Linked DNA regions of Coturnix japonica. The protein of the gene in region 1 purifies or fractionates together with the protein of each later gene. This does not show direct contact. Links are inferred from orthologs where the notes say so. Each region holds a gene or a part of one and is shown on either strand. Other genes may lie near its edges.

Region 1 (3,951 bases):
ACAATCTGCACTTAAACTGGATTCTTAAAGCATCTGGTCTACCTGCCTCCTCTCTTGTTCATCAGGATCCACTGTCCTTTCCTGTTTGAAAGCTTTCGATTCCTTCCATGCTCCTTTCAGTGAGGTTCTTAGTTTTTAATCCTCAGATGGATACTGAAGAGTTACTTTTACAGCTCTTTTTCATCTAAGAAGCCTGCTGGTACCCTGAATATAACTGCTTATAACTGGGAAGTCATCGGCATTGGTGTACTCGGCATTGGTGAGGCCTCACCTCGAGTACTGCGTTCAGTTTTGGGCACCTCAGTACAAAAAAGACATTGAGGTACTGGAGCAGGCCCAGAGAAGGGCAGTGAGGCTTCTGAAGAGCTTGGAGAATCAGCCCTATGAGGAGAGGCTAAGGGACCTGGGGCTGTTTAGTTTGGGCAAAAGGAGGCTGAGGGGAGACTTGATCGCCCTCTTCCAGTACCTGAAAGGTGCTTACAGTGAGAGTGGGGCAGGTCTCTTCTCATTAGTGACAAGTGACAGGACGAGGGGAAATGGCCTCAAGTTGCACCAGGGCAAGTTTAGGTTGGATATTAAGAAGAACTTCTTTACAGAAGGGGTATTTAGGTACTGGAATAGGCTCCCCAGGGAGGTGGTTGATGCTTGAGTCACCATCACTGAAATGTTTAGGACCATTTTGATGTGTGCTCAGGGATTACGTAGGGTTGTTAGAGTTAGGGTACTGATTAGGCTGTGGTTGGACTTGATGATCTTCAAGATCTTTTCCAACCTGAGTAATTCTATGATTCTATGATACAACATTTGCAGGCTGATAGGCTACACTGCAGGAGGGAACTTGTCTGTGAATAAACTGTACAAGCTACAGGTCATGAGAACATCTGAAATGCTTGAACAAAATTTCAACAGGATATAAAACATTTGCTCACGTTAGTTTCAAAACTTCTCTTTCGCAGTCAGACCAAAAATTCAAGTCCATGTTTTAAAGCTGTCTGAATGAAAACACAGAAGGAAAAGAAAAAAGGAAAGCTCATTCTGTGTACCTTGAGTCGAGCTTCCACTGAAGCCTTCTTACGAGCTTCCCTCCTGCGATACTGCTCCACTTTATCCAGCTGATCAGGACGCTGAAGCATTCCAGCCACCCTCTGAACAGCAGTTGCAACCGCTTCCCTATCTGTTTCCTCCATGGCTGATTAGGACCTCAGAATGCCTTCATCATTCAACAGCGCTGAAAAGAAACGTAACTGTTTTAGAACATACGCTTTCACTCGATGGCTCTCTATCTATTCAAACTATGTAACCTAGGGTACGTTTGCCTATTAAAAGGGGAATGAGAGATGCATATAGGAATGTTGTGGATTCCTCTCCCAGAACTTAAACCTGTTGGAAGTGAAACATCTAGAGTCCCCCGGCAGTAACTCAAATCTGGTATCAGCAGTGGAGAGAAACATAACCATGGAAGCTCTAAACTTGAAGACTGAACTACAAAGCACTTTTGTTTAGATTTTTGATGGAAGGGCCCTCAAAGCCCACCCATCCCCACCCCCTGCCATGGGCAGGGCTGCCCACCAGCAGTTCAGCTGCCCAGGGCCCCATCCAACCTGGCCTTGAGCACCTCCAGGGATGGGGCACCACAGCTTCTATGGGCAGCTGTGCCAGTACCTCACCACCCTCTGAGTAAACAGTATGAGCAGAGTTAGGGCAGCTTTAACACACACAGCCACAACTCGGGCAGCCGACGCACCTCACGCAACCTTCTGATTACACGGCGACGTGCTGCAATGACTGGGCCATTTCACAACCACCAACCGCTCACACAGGAAGAGCAAACTTCAGGAACCCGTGCCAACTTTACAGAGGCTGTCAGCCGTCACCACGAGCAAAGAGCCAACAAAACCAATCACAGAATCACAGAATGACCCGGGTTGGAAGGGACCTCAAGGATCATGTAGTTCCAACCCCCCTGCCTGGCAGGGCCACCCAAACCATACAACACATTTACTAGATCAGTTGCCCAGGGCCCCCGTCCAACCTTGGCCTTGAACACCTCCAAAGTGACGGGCGCAATCCACACCTCCCTGGGCGCCTGTTCCAAGGACTATACCGACTTCTGCCCTAGTGAAGAACTTCCCCCTAACATCCAACCTAAATCTTCCCTCTTTTAACTTAAAACCATTTCCCCGTGTCCTGCTATTGTCAGCCCTTTCAAAGAGTTTACTCCCCTCCTGGGTGTAGGTTCCCTTCAGGTATTGAAAGGCTGCAATGAGGTCACCCCGCAACCTTCTCTTCTCCAGGCTGAACAAACCCAACTCCCTCAGCCAAACCAAGCCCGGCGCTTTAGGGAAACTTCCACAGTCAGCCGAGCAGACACGAGCAGCGATACACGGCGGGTAGTGCCAGGCCGCGGGCTGTGCAGGACGCATCCCCTCACCACACAGCGGGCACGAAGCGCAGCGCACCCGGCTCCCTCAGCCGCCACAGCCCGGCAGGTGCCCGTAGGCCGGAGCCCCGCCCCGGCGAGCCCGCAGCCGCCAAGCGCCCTCAGCCCCGAATTCCTGCGCCACATCGGCCCGGACGCTCCCTCGGCACCCTCTCGGCACCCTTTGGGCCCCGCCATCCCAGCGGCTCCTCGGATCGTTCCCCTCCCGCTTCCCGCTGGCCGCTACCGGCGGAGCGCTCACCATGGCCGGACACCGCGGTACCGCTCACGGGCTGCAGCAGCCGCCCCTCGGCACGGCGCTGACAGGCGGGCAGCGCGCATGCGCACAACGCAGACCCTTGGCGTCACGGCCAAGTACGCATGCGCAGGGGCAGCCCTCAGCTCCCTCGCTGTTCGGGAGGAGGGCGTGCGCCTTGCGGGGCCTCACCTGCGCATGCGCGGTGTGCTCAGCTGCAGTTCACAGTCACAGAATTATTTTAGGTTGAATGTTAGGGGGAAGTTCACTAGGAGAGTGGTTAGGCCCTGGAACAGGCTGCCCAGGGAGGTTGTGGATGCCGCGTCCTTGGAGGTGTTCAAGGCCAGGTTGGACGGGGCCATGGGCAACCTAATCTAGTAAATGTGTATGTTTGGTGGCCCTGCCAGGCAGGGGGGTTGGAACTACATGATCCTTGAGGTCCCTTCCAACCCGGGTCATTCTGTGATTCATTCTGTGATTCATCAAGGTTGGAAAAGACCTAGAAGATCATCCAGTCCAACCATCACCAATACTTCCCAGTACTAAATCATATCCCTCAACACCACATCCAAAACGTTGGGAACGTCCGTGGTGTTGTTTGCTGGTGCTGGGGAAGCAGTTGTTAATGCGTCTTGAGGTGAACTCGGTTTTACACATCACTTCAATAAATGAAATGCAAAAGCCAACAGGACGAGTCGCTTTCCTTTTGTGCAATGCAAAACCCTCTTGTGCTGTGCTGGGGTCTGCTGTGGGCTCCGGGCTGCTGCTTGTTTGCAACTTTGTGTCACATAAAGCCTCTATAAAACATGTAGGAGAGCAGTTAAATCAGAAATTTGGTGGGAAACCAAAAAAAGCAAAGCCCCAAAATGGAGGCAAGCTAACACTTTGCTATAGAAAGGGAAAGGGGAGCTTCACAGAAACCAAGACAAAGGGTAACTGTAGATAGTTTACATTTAAAAGGGCAGGGAAAAAGGGAATTACAGACACTTAGTCAAAAGAAAACCAGAGAAGAGGGCAATAAGGATAAGAAGAAATTGTCCTGAGACCTCTGACAAGAAGAAGGATTAGATACCCCCGGGCAAGATGATGCCGACATGGGAGAATGATAACAGCAGATAACACCAAGAAGAAAACAGAAGAATTTCACCCCAAAACAACGGCAAGGGTCGCAGGGAACGGGGTCACTGGGAATGAGGGAATGGGGCCATAGGGAATGTAATGAATACGTAGTCAAACTGAGGAGGAGACTATTGATTATGTATTAGCTTGACCTATA
Region 2 (4,199 bases), on another chromosome or scaffold:
ATTAAATGGGGGGGGGGGGGTTCACTGTCTGAAAGCAGAATATAAACTGACTAATGAGAATGAGCCATATATACTTCAGTTACTTCCTTTCATCATGGAAAAATTCTTAAGCAGCTTTTAAGGCTGTTTGTCACACTTGCTTGGCACAGTAATCCCCACTCAGAATTAAATCATTGCAGTGGGGGTAGCTCTAGTAGCTGCATGTATGTGAAAGAACAGCCTTCCTGTAACAGGTCCACTAAGTCATTCCAAACCAAAGGAAAAGTCAGTAATAGAATATAAGGATGCAGGTAAACTCTGATGCTGCAAAACAGAAAGGAGATATATTGACTGAAGAAAATATTTTTGTGCTGCTTTTATAGCCCTCTTTGGTCACGTTTAATTAAAAACGGTTTGCTCATTAATCATTCACAAGAGGGAGAAAGTCATAGTTCCTTGCACATTTGTGATATCTGAGCACTAGAGGATTGCAGCTCCAACACCCTGCCCTCAGGCCCTCAGGTGATGACCAGTGGAGAGCACTGACTCAATACAAAACTACAAGGGAACACCACGCAGCTCTGCCCACCTTGATTCCTGCCATTTTCCACCAGCCAGCCAGAGATACGGATGACGTCGTGCAGGACGCTCTCTGGGAGGTGTTCTAGTGCCATCTCCTCCTGTGTGTCCATTTCATCATCTCCACTGATCAGGTCCAGGATGAGGATGGGTGGGACAGGCTTGGTGTGTCGCGTCATCAAGCTGCGGAACTCTGATTCCAAGGACTCTTTTCCCCTCTCAAAGAGGGATTTCTGGCACAAACCAGCAGAGGACAGAACAGGGTTGTTGTAATCAGTCACTCACAAGTCTTTCTGCATGAGATTGCACTTTCTGCAGCGTTTCTAATCACTGTCAAGTACTGCATGCTTCAAACTCCAGTGCCTGTAGCTAAGAGACTTTTAATGACTTAGTTACATATGGAATTGCCTGGGAGTTGCTCAGTATATAAAGCATGAAAAGAACAAAATATCACCAAGCAAAATTGCTGTCGGGCTAGGACAGAAACCAAAGCAATCATTTCTTCAGCTGTGCCCAAACACATTCTTTATCAGGCAGCAAGCCCACCAGCCTCTCACTGCCCACAGAGGGTAAGTGGCAGGGTTATGGCTGTTCCTATCTTACCCATGCAAGCTTCCAGACCTGCGACCTACCACACGGTTCAGCTCCGGGCTGTCTGGATTGTTGTCCTGGAAGTATTCCACTGCTTTCTGGATTTTGTCCATGCAATTCAAGTACTCCTCCAGCCTCCCAGTGGGGCTAAAAATAAAAGCAAAAATAAAAAGGATCAGAAGAAGAAAAAGACAAAGTGTGTGGAGTCAGCGCCTACCTCTGCCCCAAGAACTGACAGGATGAAGCACCCCAGCAAGACCTAGCTACCAAACTCACCCTTCCTTTATGATCTTCTCTGTGTCCTTTGCCACATGGTAGTAACTAATGACATGATCCAAGCAGGACAAGGTTTTTTCCACGTTCTCCTGCAAGCGCTGTAGATTCTCTGTCTGTTTATGGACAGGGATGATCGAGTTCTCCAGCTTCATCAAACGACTTTCAAAGGAGGAAAGGATAGAAACCTACATGTCAAGAGAGAAAAAAAGAGTTGAGGACATCCCTCCACATGAATTCACACTACGGGTTAGTAGCTAGAATAGGGCAATTAGGCACCTTCAGGCCCCACTTCTGTTCCATGGCCCCTTAAGGCAGGCTGTTTAAACTTTCTATGTCCTAATGAATAATGAATAATTACAATACAGGTCACCTGCTGTCAAAGATAGACCATCCTTACATTTGTAAAGCATGCAAAACAGCACTAAGGGAGAGCAAAACTTGACTTGATAGCAAGAAACAAAGCCACTGGAAATGCCTGGAGGTGCCTTAGATAAAAGAGATCAATAAAAACAACCTGGCAGCCACTTTGCTCCATAATACTAAGATGTAAAACAGAGACAACACAAAGGCACATTGTGGCATTAATGTCCTTTTACATTGCAAGTATTTGGCTTTTAAAAGGGTCTGTCACTTCTGAACTGTGGAAAATAAGCCCACAGAGGGTGACTTCACATCATCCCTCCTGGGTCAAAACGCAGCTCTTTCAAGAAGAGAAAGGACAGACTGTAAGGACATGAAGCCTTTGCTTTGCACCCACACCTCCCAAGGAGGGAAAGTATGGGTTGGAAACCAGCCTGTGGGGTGTAAAAGCAAGTGATTTATTACTCTGTATTGCTCAGACAAGTACAACACCACCCTTAAACATGAGTCTACCTAAGGATGAACAGCCCCTGACCCAACATTAAGGCTGCACCTCCAGGAGCTCCTCACCATGTTCTTTGTGAGCTGGTCGCTCTTCTCAAGGCTCTCTTTGATAAAGGACAGCGTTTCTTCTTCCTGCAGTCACGATAAAAAGCAGTTTTCACTTCAGACCATCGAGCATTGAACTCACTATACACCAAACGAGGGTCACACACCCACAGCTGGGAGACCGAGCACAGGGTAGGCCGCACACAGACACCCATGAACCCTGAGGAGACATAACAGGCCCCTGATAGCCGCAGGCCCAACCCCACCTCCAAGCACTGACCCCAGCCCAGCCCCACCTGCTTCAGCTTGTCCTCGATCTCCCTCCTGCGGGCCGACATCTCCTCTGTTGGGATCATGGTGCTGCGGGGCGCCAGGGCCGCGCTCCACACACAAACCCCGCTACCACAACTCACTTCCGGCCGGCCACCACCGCGCCGCCATTTTGGGTGCGGCAAGGCACGTTGCGCATGCGCAGAAAGCCAAAGCGCTATCTAGAGAATGGCTTCCGGCATAGAGGAACCGGAAAGAGGATTGGGGGAGTAACGCGCATGCGCATTGTTGGTCGCCACCTTGGGTGTGGCGTACAGGCTGCGCCGCCATCTTGGGAGGGGCGTGGTGTGTCCTAATATGGCACCCTTTATCTGCCGGGATGGATGTGCAGAGTGACCCCAATGCACTGAAAGACACGAGGGGGTCCCAGCGGCTCCAGGGCGGGCACCTGGAAGGAGACCAGTGGTCCTGCAGGAGGGTTGGGTCCATGGCTGGGCCCAGTCCTGCTCTACTTACTGTATGGCATCACAGAGCACATCCCACCCCCCTGTGCTCTGTCACTGCACTGGGCTCATACAGGGGCTGCCCATAGAAGGAGGAAATGCAGCAGCTCAGTGTGCGCTGCTATTGTGTGCTGCTAGGAAATGCACCCATTGCAGGAAGGGGATGCACGACAGGGAATGCCCCAGTGTGACCCAGCACCCTCTGCTGCTGTCAGACCTGCTGTGTGTGCCATAAACCAAGCACCCCAACCTCCTGCTATAGGGGCTGGACCTGTGTCCCCATCTATCTTCCCCTTATCAGCCCACCCTGTGCTTGGTGAGGCTGAGGCAGCCCAATGGGTCTCTATTCAACAACAGGTGGGTTTTATGATCCACCTTATCACACAGCTGTGTGCCGACCAGCATGAAGGGCAATGTATTCCCACCCCACAGCCCCAAAGTGGCACCACACAGGCAGAGATATGAGCACTGTGACACGGCCCTGCTGCTCCCCTCAGCCACCCTTTGCATCTTGAAAGGCAATAACACAGTTTATATCCCATCCCGCCTGCTGCTGCCGCCTTCCCACCCCGCCAACAATCTCTTTCCGCGCCGAAGCTGCCGCCTGCGGAGGATGAAAGGCAGTGAGTCAGCAGTGCATGGAGGAATGCTGCTCCTTTTGCTCCATGGGAGGGTGTCACCAACGGCCGAGTTGGCACCGTGCTTTGGTTGGGGCTGCTGAGTCCATTTGGCACCGAGCAAAGCTGCTGCGCTGCTCTAAAGCTGCAGGTTGGGATCTGATCAGAACCTGATGGCTCCGTGCTGTTTGGATGCAGCATTCAAATGGCATCGCAGCCCCCTTGCTCAGCAATGGGAGGTTTGGGGTGCTGGGCTCCCAAATACTGCCAAGGAGCAAAGGTGAAGATGAAGCAGCAGAGCTCGGCCCTTGGCTCATTGTAAGGTGGTTGGGATCAGTCCCTAAGGGTTGGCCCCATAAGTCCCCCCCACAACCCCATCCACTAGCCCAGCACAGACACAAGCTGTGCTCTCCCTCCCTCCGGCTTTATTTGCAGAGGGAATTAAGGTCCTGCTGGGAAACCTTCCCCAGTGCTC

Evidence for each region. Proteins that work in one complex are often made in the same cells at the same time.
Region 2: the proteins of EXOC3 (region 1) and EXOC7 purify together in Homo sapiens (affinity purification with mass spectrometry; 5 studies listed by BioGRID and IntAct, counting the BioPlex papers as one, with this or other methods). This does not show direct contact. The link is inferred for Coturnix japonica from reciprocal best matches to the Homo sapiens genes EXOC3 and EXOC7.

What each region holds. Positions count from the first base shown.
Region 1 is NC_029517.1:80,087,712-80,091,662, reverse strand, and holds the start of EXOC3 (exocyst complex component 3), read right to left. Parts: upstream 2,801-3,951; 5' UTR 2,682-2,800; intron 1,229-2,681; 5' UTR 1,188-1,228; coding exon 1,044-1,187; intron 1-1,043. UniProt on the Homo sapiens protein: Component of the exocyst complex involved in the docking of exocytic vesicles with fusion sites on the plasma membrane.
Region 2 is NC_029533.1:3,918,693-3,922,891, reverse strand, and holds the start of EXOC7 (exocyst complex component 7), read right to left. Parts: upstream 2,801-4,199; 5' UTR 2,691-2,800; coding exon 2,631-2,690; intron 2,422-2,630; coding exon 2,356-2,421; intron 1,611-2,355; coding exon 1,426-1,610; intron 1,297-1,425; coding exon 1,191-1,296; intron 792-1,190; coding exon 569-791; intron 1-568. UniProt on the Homo sapiens protein: Component of the exocyst complex involved in the docking of exocytic vesicles with fusion sites on the plasma membrane.